Coturnix japonica: one gene and its partners. The protein of the gene in region 3 interacts with the protein of the main gene of each other region in a pairwise test. Links are inferred from orthologs where the notes say so. Each region holds a gene or a part of one and is shown on either strand. Other genes may lie near its edges. The genes, in order: YWHAQ, KLHL38 and TRIM42.

Evidence for each region.
Region 1: the proteins of TRIM42 (region 3) and YWHAQ interact in binary tests that used the Homo sapiens proteins (3 or more experiments, as listed by UniProt). The two-hybrid records come from large-scale screens. The link is inferred for Coturnix japonica from reciprocal best matches to the Homo sapiens genes TRIM42 and YWHAQ.
Region 2: the proteins of TRIM42 (region 3) and KLHL38 interact in binary tests that used the Homo sapiens proteins (3 or more experiments, as listed by UniProt). The two-hybrid records come from large-scale screens. The link is inferred for Coturnix japonica from reciprocal best matches to the Homo sapiens genes TRIM42 and KLHL38.

Annotation. Positions count from the first base shown.
Region 1 is NC_029518.1:87,879,033-87,882,632, forward strand, and holds the start of YWHAQ (14-3-3 protein theta), read right to left. Parts: upstream 2,680-3,600; 5' UTR 2,528-2,679; intron 1,650-2,527; 5' UTR 1,559-1,649; coding exon 1,265-1,558; intron 1-1,264. UniProt on the Homo sapiens protein: Adapter protein implicated in the regulation of a large spectrum of both general and specialized signaling pathways. Binds to a large number of partners, usually by recognition of a phosphoserine or phosphothreonine motif.
Region 2 is NC_029517.1:124,496,442-124,500,272, reverse strand, and holds the start of KLHL38 (kelch-like protein 38), read left to right. Parts: upstream 1-997; 5' UTR 998-1,224; coding exon 1,225-1,246; intron 1,247-1,794; exon of another isoform or gene 1,795-1,896; coding exon 1,897-3,266; intron 3,267-3,831.
Region 3 is NC_029524.1:5,104,871-5,107,794, forward strand, and holds part of TRIM42 (tripartite motif-containing protein 42), read left to right. Parts: intron 1-598; coding exon 599-1,413; intron 1,414-2,080; coding exon 2,081-2,308; intron 2,309-2,924.

The DNA of each region.
Region 1 (3,600 bases), on a different chromosome or scaffold from region 3:
GGTGTATGTTTGGTGGCCCTGCCAGGCAGGGGGGTTGGACTTGCTTGTTTCTTGAGGTCCCTTCCAACCCGGGTCATTCTGTGATTCTGTGATTTTATAGAAGGCCTCTGACTCACAGTTAGAAACGAATCCAGGAGGCAGCATGTGAGGAAGCACACAGTATTTTCAATACAATCCAAAGCACCCTTGTACATGAGCCAAAACACTTCTCAAGATGCAAAATCCATTACTTCCAAACCAGCCATCTTTAACCTCAGGTCTCCTAACCCGATTCAGGGTTAAATCAAAAACTGTTTATTTCCTTACTCACTTCCTTTCTCATGCTTGCAATACTAGACATCAAAAATACACAGCTTAACCACTGAAGATGACATGCCACACCATCAGCACTGCACTACACACACACAGCTTCCTGCAGTCAGTAGACCCTGATCACACACAACAGGCTTGCACACTTCCCATGTTGCTGACACAGGTCTGTGGAGCTCCTGCTGCACTGCAATGCTGCTTCACCATCAACAGCATCTGGAATTCTGCTCCTCACATGGAAATATATTGCTGGGCTTTGAAACATGCCCAGGTGCACAATACCTGTCATGGAATATCCTGTTTCCAAGCCACAGTTGTGCATTAGTCCAAAATAACTGCAAATTCACTTTTAACAGCCCCCACTAAATCAACTTGAGTGTGACAAAGCAGATTTCTACCTTTTTCTTTCCTACTTTCAAGGAAGATGTCTTCCTTTATGAAATCATACCTTATTACCTAGGAAAGAAAATCTAAAAAATGCCTCTTTAAGGCCTTTAAAGAGTGTTTTTCCTCACATGAAGCAGCACATTAAATGAACGCCATTAATTTAAATGCATTTAACAGGTTACTAGCACCAACCTTCAGAAATAAAGGGCTTTCATTTTCTTTTCAGCTTACCTTGTGAAGATTAGCTTACAAACCAAAGCACAAGCCTAAATTCCCTGCATCTCTGTGCTCAGCTAGCGTAGTACTGCACACAGGTAACTCCATCAGATGTGCATCTCAAACACAGCTTAGCACACCTCGATTACTTCTGCATATACAGCACCCGCAGCAAAGTGCAGATGATTTTCTGTCTCAAAGTAACCAATATGGCAGCTGCAAAAGTTACTGAACTACCCACTCCAGCATAATAGCTCACATAGTGCCCAGCCCATTTCCCACCCTCCTCAAAACAGCAGCATCCCGCTTCTCTCTTTTGATAAAACACGGAAAAAGGAAAGGCCCCACTCACCAGCACCGTGGTGCAGATGGACCTGAGCTCAGACTCCACCTTCTCCCTATAGTCCTTGATAAGCTGCATCTTCTTGTCGCTGGTGTCTGTCTTTTGCTCGATGCTGGAGATAACCCTCCAGGCAGAGCGTCGCCCCCCCACCACATTCTTGTAGGCCACCGAGAGCAGGTTGCGCTCCTCGTTGGACAGCTCAGCCCCCTGTTCCGTCACCGCCTTCATGCAGGTGGCCATGTCGTCATAGCGCTCAGCCTGCTCCGCCAGCTTGGCTTTCTGGATCAACTCGGTCTTATCCATGGTGGCCGGCGGCAGGACGAGGGCAGTGTTGTAGCAAAGGCAGGAGAAGCTGAGGACGTCACTCTGCCAGCAAGAGAACGAGCCTCAGAGCCTGCCAGGAGAAGGACAGCAACCGTGACTCCAGGAGCCAACGCTGTGGATGGTGTCCTTGCAGCCCCCTTACTGGGACTGTAGGGAGCTCCCCATTCCCAAGTACATCCCATGGCGCAGCACTGGCACCGTCCCTCCCTTGGGCAGAAGCAGGCACTGGTACCGGGCCCACCCTGGGGAAGCAACAGCCCAGAAACCCAGCCGGGGATGGGTCACAGTCCCTCGGCCAGAGGACCGAGCACCGGGCAGTCGTACCAACGTACCACAGCGGCTTTTGTCCTTACTGTGCCAACACACTTAAGAGCTGCTCAATGGAGCCGCACAGCAGGACACCCAGCTCCCAGGCAGCCCGAGGGCCTTCCCCACGTGCCTTCACCCCGCAGGGGAGGGCAAAGAAAAAGGAGGAAACAGAAAAAAAAGCTATTTAAAAAGAAAGAAAGGAGAACAGCGCGCTCGGAGCTGAGGCCGCAGCTCAGCGGGGCTGGAGACAACGCCGGGGCCGGGCGGGGCCGGGCGGGCAGCTCGGGCCGCTTCGCCTCCTGGCGGCGGGGCGAGGCGGGACCATCCCCCCGGCGGGAGCGGCCCCGGCCCCGGCACGGAGCCCCTCCATTCCCGGCCGCTGGGTGGGGTCGGGGCCCGGCGGCTCCGCGTTGGCCTCGTCCCCGGGGACCGCGAAGCGGGGGGCGGCGGAGCGGGACGAGCGTGGCCGGGCGCGGAGGACGAAGCCCCGGCGGGTACGAAATGGCGGCGCCGCCCGGCGGCTCGTTCCGCAACCCGGCACCGCCGAGCGCTCCACGCCGCGCTCACAAAATGGAGGACGCGGCGCCGAGGCGGGGCACGGCGGCACGGCCGGCGGGAAGCGGCCCACGCCGCGCTCACCTGAGTCCGCTGCGCTGCGCTGCGCTAGGCCGGGCCGGGCCGCACCCGATCGGCTGCGCCTCGCTCGGGATGTGGCGGAGAGAAAGAGCCGCTCCCGAAGCGGGCGAGAGCCAGCGCTAAAGGGCGTTGGCACGGCCGAGCCTACCCGCCGCTCGGCCCGCGCCCACGCGGCCAATCGCGGCCTCTCCTGCGAGCCAGGCCCCGCCCCTCCGCTCCCCGCCGGCCAATCCGAGGGCAGCGCGCCGCCGCGGGGGCGAGCGCGGGCAGGGCGCGAGCTCGGTTGGCCCGTGGGCTGCGGCTGGGGCCACGGGGTTTCCTCCAATTAGATCCAGGGTGAGATGACGTCACTGTCGCCATGGCGATACTGCTACAACCCCCCCCCCGCCCAACCCCCGCTCCACCACGGTGGGTCGGCACCGACACGGCGCGGGAACGGGCGGGGGCGGCCGGCGGGGGCTGCCCGTGCTGTGGGGGCTGCCCGTGCTGTGGGGGCTGCCCGTGCTGTGGGGGCTGCCCGTGCTGTGGGGGCTGCCCGTGCTTTAGCTCCCTGGCTGTGTCGCCATGGGGCCGTGCGGGGCGGGCTCGGTGCCCCCTCCGTAGGGCGGCTGTGGGAGGACACAGTGCGTGGTGCCGAGGCTGGGCTGCGGGCTGGGCTGCCCGGCGCCCTCCCGGCGCGTTGTCTCCTGTCAGGAATGCTGCCTTTGTGCCGCCGCTCGGTCGGGCGAGAGATTTCAGAGAGAGGGAAGATTTAGGTTGGATGTTAGGGGGAAGTTCTTCACTAGGAGAGTGGTTAGGTCCTGGAACAGGCTGCCCAGGGAGGTTGTGGATGCCCCGTCCTTGGAGGTGTTCAAGACCAGGTTGGACGGGGCCCTGGGCAACCTGATCTAGTAAAGGTGTATGTTTGGTGGCCCTGCCAGGCAGGGGGGTTGGAACTACATGATCCTTGAGGTCCCTTCCAACCCGGGTCATTCTGTGAGCTGTGCCCCAGGAGCCCGGTGACAGGAAATTGCTCGTGAAGAGTTAATGGCGCTGTGCCGTGGGGCCCTGAGCGGGGAGCGACCCGCGCTGACATC
Region 2 (3,831 bases), on a different chromosome or scaffold from region 3:
TGCTGACACTGGGCCTTCTGGGCTCAACAGCCTTTGGGGCTCAACAGGCTTTTGGCCTCACTGGGCCATCAGCAGGCTCCTTAATGAACCCTCTGGGAAAGGACACGTATGGCACAGCCTGTGATGAAAGCTGCTGTTTTTAGAGCCCCAGCCCTTCTGTGTGGGCATCTGGGGTTGTAGAGGATCCCCTGGGACACATGGTGCTCAACTGATCCAAGCCCATGGGATGGATTTAGGCTCAGCATCTCAGATACCTAACAAGAGTGTACAAGACACCTACACATGACCAAGACAAATGAACACCTACAGCCCAGGAAGATTGAGTCAGAGCTGCCTGGAGGACCATCCATCTGCCCCAAAATAGGTGATGCTTGCTGGTGACCAGGATAACTCCATGGTTGTAATGACCAGAGTTCACCAGCTGCTAGGGAAGCTCAGACACCCTGTTCAGACATCTGCAGTTAGAGGGGTCTGCAATGAGAAGCCTAGGGCTCTCGGTGCAGTGATTTTTCCAGCCTGCTACCCTCACTTCAGCAAACTGCTCCAGTTTCCACTCACCTCCCTCAAAGCACTTGCCTATCCACTCTAGGTGCCATAGTCATGAGAGTTCCAGTGCATCAGGATCACCTACACACCCACCACTGCAGACCACAAAGGCAGGTGCACCCAAAACCTCTCCATCAGGTGGAGACATGGTCCATCCCTCTGGGATCCCTGCAGGCTCTGCTTTCTCCACAAAAATACGTGACAGTGCATCACCTAGCGCGAGGCGCTGCAGACTGTTTACAGGCTTCTCAAGTTCCCAGGCAATTTAGGACAGGGTCCTGTTGCTGTTTCCAAACGGACAGCCAGGACTTTTATAAGTGAACTTTCCTCTCCGTGTCTATTTATTATATGTAAACATTTGCCAGAAAAACACCAGCCGGGCATGCTCAGTACCAGCCAGGTCATTGCAAAAGGCAACGGCGGTGTCACATGTGATAACTGTGAGAAGTCCATATGTGCCTATTCTTAGCGCTGGAATGTATACAATGCCCCACCGCCTCGCGGCTCCTGCACAGAGCTCCTGAGAGCGGCAAAAGTGACTTCAGAATAAACACGTCCAGAAATCACCTTCTATGAATCACTCACCTACTGAAAGAAACGTCCTGTGGGTTTATAGTTTTTATCCAGGCTCTAGCTATGGAAAATCTCAGCAGAGAATAAGCGACAGAGAGTAAGTGCATGCAGGGAAGGACATCGGAAGGTAAACATTTCTACCGTACGATTTCACTGCAGATTAAGCGGTTAGGCATGAAATAAATACTCATCAGATTGTTCTGCCTGGCACTTAATTTAGTCATTGTGTGTCTGATTAACATAAAAAAACCACAGCTAAGCAGAGTTAATAAATAACTGTTTTAATGCAGATTCCCAGTCTCTAGGGTTTAGTTAGTCCTGCTGAAGAGTTCAGCTCTGCCAGATTTACATTCTTTGGGAATGACTAACTCTAGGGGAAAGAGATGCAAGTTACTAAACGGCTAATACTTTAAAATAGTGAATAAATGTCCAAGCGCATTTATTCGACATGATTAAAATGAACCTCCCCATTGCTTTGGCCGTTCAGCTTTCATCCCAAATCAGTGAGATAACTTCAGTGCTTTTGCTTCTTGCCAGAGTCACAGGCAATGCTGACCCTAGAGCTGCAATCTATCTGATAAATTTATAAAAATTTTAAAGGGTCTTTGTGACCTTTTAGCTTCTTTATTACTTTCCCACTGCGCTTAACCCATGTTCCATTTTTATGCATAACAGCGAATGAATATTTAGAGCAACATCAAAGTCCTGATTTGTTCCCTTGGAGCTGGATACTTCTTTAAAAGCTGCTAAGAAATTGTTTTTTTCTGCCAAGTCCAGACTTCATCTCTCTCTTTGCTATGGAGGAGCAATCTGCTGAGGAGTTTCTCTTCAAAGACCAGGACTTCTCCTCTGAACTGCTGAGGCAGCTGAATGTGCTGCGGCAGAGCGGGATGCTGACTGATGTTACCCTCTGCTCTGGGGGCTCTGAAGTTCCCTGCCACAGAAACGTGCTGGCTGCCAGCAGCCCGTACTTCAAGGCGATGTTCTGTAATAACTTCAAAGAGAGTCGCCAAGCTAAAGTCACCCTGAAGGGCATTGATGCTGAAATTTTGGACCAGATTATCCTTTACATTTACACAGGGGAGATTCTCATATCTGCTGAGAATGTCTTGTACCTATTGGAGACAGCATCCATGCTGCAGTACGCTAAGCTGTTTGAGGCCTGCTCTGCCTACCTCCAAGATAAGATGACTCCTGACAACTGTCTAAGCATGATCAGACTGGCAAAAATCTTGAACTGCCAAAGCCTGAATAAGAAAGCCAAGGCTATGGCTTTGAAATGCTTTCCTGAAGTGGCCTCTTCTGAGGACCTCAAGGATCTCTGTCCTTTGGAGCTCCTCGATTACCTGGGGGATGATGAGCTCTGTGGGGAGGAGGAGCAGGTCTTTGAGACACTGATGGTCTGGATCCGGCATGACCTCCAGGCAAGACAGCGCTACATCCAAGACTTGTTCAAGATGGTCCGGCTTCAGTACGTCCATCCAACTTTCCTTTTCCATTTCATTGCCAATGACTCTCTTGTTCAGTCTTCACCCACTTGCAGGAGCATTCTCGAGTCAGCTCGGAGACAGATGTTTTCCTTGTACAGCACCAATGCACCTGACATCAAGCCAATGGTACACGTTCCTCGCAGATACTCCAACCAAGAGTTCCTCATCATCATTGGTGGCAGGAAGGACAACCAGCAGACCACAAGGGATGTCCTGCTGTATGATGACAAGACCAACCAATGGCTAAGCCTGGCCAAACTTCCTGTACGCCTGTACAAAGCATCTGCAGTCAGCTTACACAGTAATATTTATGTGCTTGGAGGGATGCCTGTTAGCAATAAGAAAAGTCCAGTCAGCGATAATATTTACATTTACTCCCTCAAACTCAATCAGTGGAGGTTGGTTGAACCTATGCTAGTTCCACGTTATTCCCACAGAAGCTTGGCATATAAAAATTATATTTTATCATTTGGTGGTATTGGTGAAAACCAAGAAATCCTGAATTCTGTGGAAAGATATGACAGCATCTACAACACCTGCGAGAGCATGGCAAACATGCCTGTTGCTGTCCTTCACCCTGCTGTTGCTGCCAAAGACCAGAGGGTGTACCTCTTTGGGGGAGAAGACATTATGCAAAACCCCGTCCGGCTTATCCAGGTAACAGTCAGTCCTCCTTGACATAGGCAGCTTTACTTAAACAAGTCAGTGGTTCATCATCACCTTGATGAAGAAGTCAGTTCCAAAACTAAACTTCATTATGAGTTGCAGCAACAGGCAGGATGAGTTGACACATTGCTTCAAATAAGTCTTGTCTCCAAGGAGCATTGTAGTTCTTTCATTTTCTCCACTAAATATTTTTCAGACATAAGGCCTGAGGCCCTTCCTCTGGCGCTGGCTCTGTCACATGAGAATTTCATATAGAGGTCTTGGGAGCTCCCATGGATGCTGCAATGGCAGGCAGTAACTGACCCCATGGCCACCTCCACATCTGCAACCGCTCACCCAAATCAGTGCTTGCTGTTTGGCCAGCCTGCAGCTAAGCTGGGGTCTCAGCTGTGCATCTGTTCCCTTGCAGTGATAGCAAAGATGTCAGTTTGAGATCATTAGAGCAATTAGACTCTCACTCATCAAAAGGCCAAAGCTTAAACTGACAGTTATTTCACATAAACAGTTGTGTTAAAAGTCTGCCACATGTTGCTGGCTCTCTGCCTGCTTTTGGTAG
Region 3 (2,924 bases):
TGGTAATGTGATATTGTTCCAAAATGTTAGCTGCACTTCAGCAAAATTTACTGTCAGCCTCTGGTGTTTTTGATTCTGTTCTCTCACAGTTCTCAATTTTTAGTGTCAGAAGAATAAATCATATCTTCACATAATGGCTATCAGAGGAATGTACTGTCAGATACAGTCATAATGAGATCTATGCAGTCACATTGGTTACAATTGTTTTAGCTTGCTACTGACGTGATAAAATTCAAAAAATAATACAGAACTACTATAAATCAGATTTCAGGATTTCCCATGTAATTAATTAAAAATCATCAAGCCCATTATGGGGGACGAAAAATAAGTAAGTGAAAGAACAATAATCAAGGAGCAATTAGCTACCTGACTTTCATACATCGGAATATGAAAATTTTATCCCAGTCAACTTCCCTTGGAGCTCCCTAGCAGTAGAGATGAGCAAAAAGTAGTAAATTCTCACTTGTTCCACGTTCCATCAACCCTGAAATTTCTTTAAACTACAACCTATCATTCTGTCTCTTCTAACCACTATATTTTAATATGAAGTTGAAACTACTGACCACAGGTTTGTTGTTTATTTTGTTTTGTTTTTCAGCACGCCAAGGAGTTGACAATGATCTAATGGAAATTATCCTGTTAAAAAATAATTTCCAAACATCCAAGGATCTCCAAAGGAAGGAGATCAGAAATGGATTCTTAAAACTACATACAGTGCTACACGAACAAGAAAAAGAGATGATGGAATTGCTTGAAAACATTGAACTTAAAAAGCAGAAAGACATTTCAGAATATGTAAACTATACATTCAGCCAGCTCTCATATATGGATGGCCTTATCCAATATGCTGAAGAGGCTCTTAAGGAGGAAAGTCAAGTTGTATTTCTGCAATCTGCACACTGTTTGGTGAAAGAAATAGAAGATGCAATTCCTTCCATTTTCCAGCCTAGTCCACTTATCCGAGAAGACCCCCTAAAGAAACTGCAATTCAAATTTGATGAAGTGTTTGCCATTTTACAAGGATTTTCACCATCCCTTAGTGAAACAAAACAGTTTGAAAGCAAAGCAGAAAAGTATCCCTGTTATTTTAACCCAGAAATAATGGTTCCAAGGCATGTTTCAAGCACACGTGAGGCCAAGCAATCAACGCTTCAAAGATCATCCTTAAATTCCTTGTTTGAATTGGACATGGCAATTGAAAGCACTCTTGGGAGACAAAACTCCACCCCTCCCCATCATTCTACACAGAGTAATAAATTCTGTGAATCTTGGAATGCAGCTTGTGAAACTTCAAGAAAAGAAAGGAAACATCAAGTTTACTTTTCAAGATCAGCACCTATGGAAAAAGAATCATCTGCAGTGCCAGGACCTGTTACTATATATCAAACTGTTGTTTACCCAAGGTCTGCCAAAGTAAGACATTAATGAATTCTAAATCTATGCAAATACTATTATCATTATATTTTCAGGCTCTAAGGTTCAATTTTGAAAAAATAAGACTACAATACCAAATAATTAATTTGCATAGGAGAGAGTGCATTTCAGACTTGTCCTTAAAGATAAAATGAAGTATAAACTGAGTTGCATCACTTTCCTACCATATTAAGTACAGCTGTTATAGTATTTTATATGTCATAAATATCTTACATAAAACGGTCCATTGCAAAAAGAAACAGATGTATTGTTTGTATCTAAATATCTGTGTATCAGACTAAATCATTTAATCCCTGTTCTTGGCCTTCAAATGCGATTTCGTATGTCTATGTAATTTTCCTCCTGATATATCAGAGATACTAACGAGAACAGGATGGATGCATAAGATCAAAAGAACATGTTGCAAAGAACCAACTGCTACCAGCCCTCAGTACTTCCAGTGTGTCAGAAGACAGTACGATGAAATTCACAGGAGGGTGTTTATGTCTCAACATGTATTTTACAATTAGGTTGGAATTTCAGCTACTTCGGCATCTGAAAATTAACACCTGCTAATCGGGAGCCTTTCAAAAAAGGCATAAATGAAAACTAACAAAATCAAAGAGTACATAATGGTGCACTACAGGTTTTTTTTTTCTCTTCACAGATCTACTGGACTTGTCCTGCAGAAGATGTGGATTTCTTTGAGGTAGAATTTTATGAAGTTCTTGGTATCAATCCTGATTACACTGTCCAGACACAACTGGATGGCAAGCTAAGCAAAATACAGCAGCAGAACCTTGAGATATATAATTTGGATTCAAATACAGAATATCTTTTCAAAGTACGTGCTGTCAATAAAAATGGTCAAGGAGAATGGAGTGAGAACTGTAAGGTATTACATATTCTTCCAATATTTTATAGAGTTATGTTAACGTTCTTGCCCGTAGACTTGGTTGGAGTTTTTTTTTTTCATATATTTACAAAGAATACTGCTTGAATAGAAGATTACAATACACTTACCTAGGTAAGTGATGCTGATATTACACTAGATATTTCCATATGTTGTTCATCCTATCTGTAATTGTTTGTCCTATGAAGAAGAATGCTTCTTGTTGTTTTCTAGCAGAGATTCTGTGTTATGATTACATCAGACACATAGTCATAAATAATATTATTTCATGTCTGAAACAGCCTTTATGCTAATCTCTCTGAACACATAGAACAAAAGTATGAAGAATCGGATTCAAAAAAATTTCATTCTAGAAAGAGAAGGCAATAATTAAGGGAAAGAGGAACCAAACAGAAATTAAGAATATTCCTTGACACCTTTGGCCACATTGCTCCTTTACCATGGTTTTAGAATTGAAAGAAAAGTGTTGAAAATATAGAAGTTTAAAAGTGTAGGAAGGTTTTCAAAAAGGCATCAAAAGTTGAGACCCTACTTGTTTCATAGCTTTTCCCTGATAAAATTTTAGTAAGGGGTGTATCAATGAGCGGCAGTGCACAGA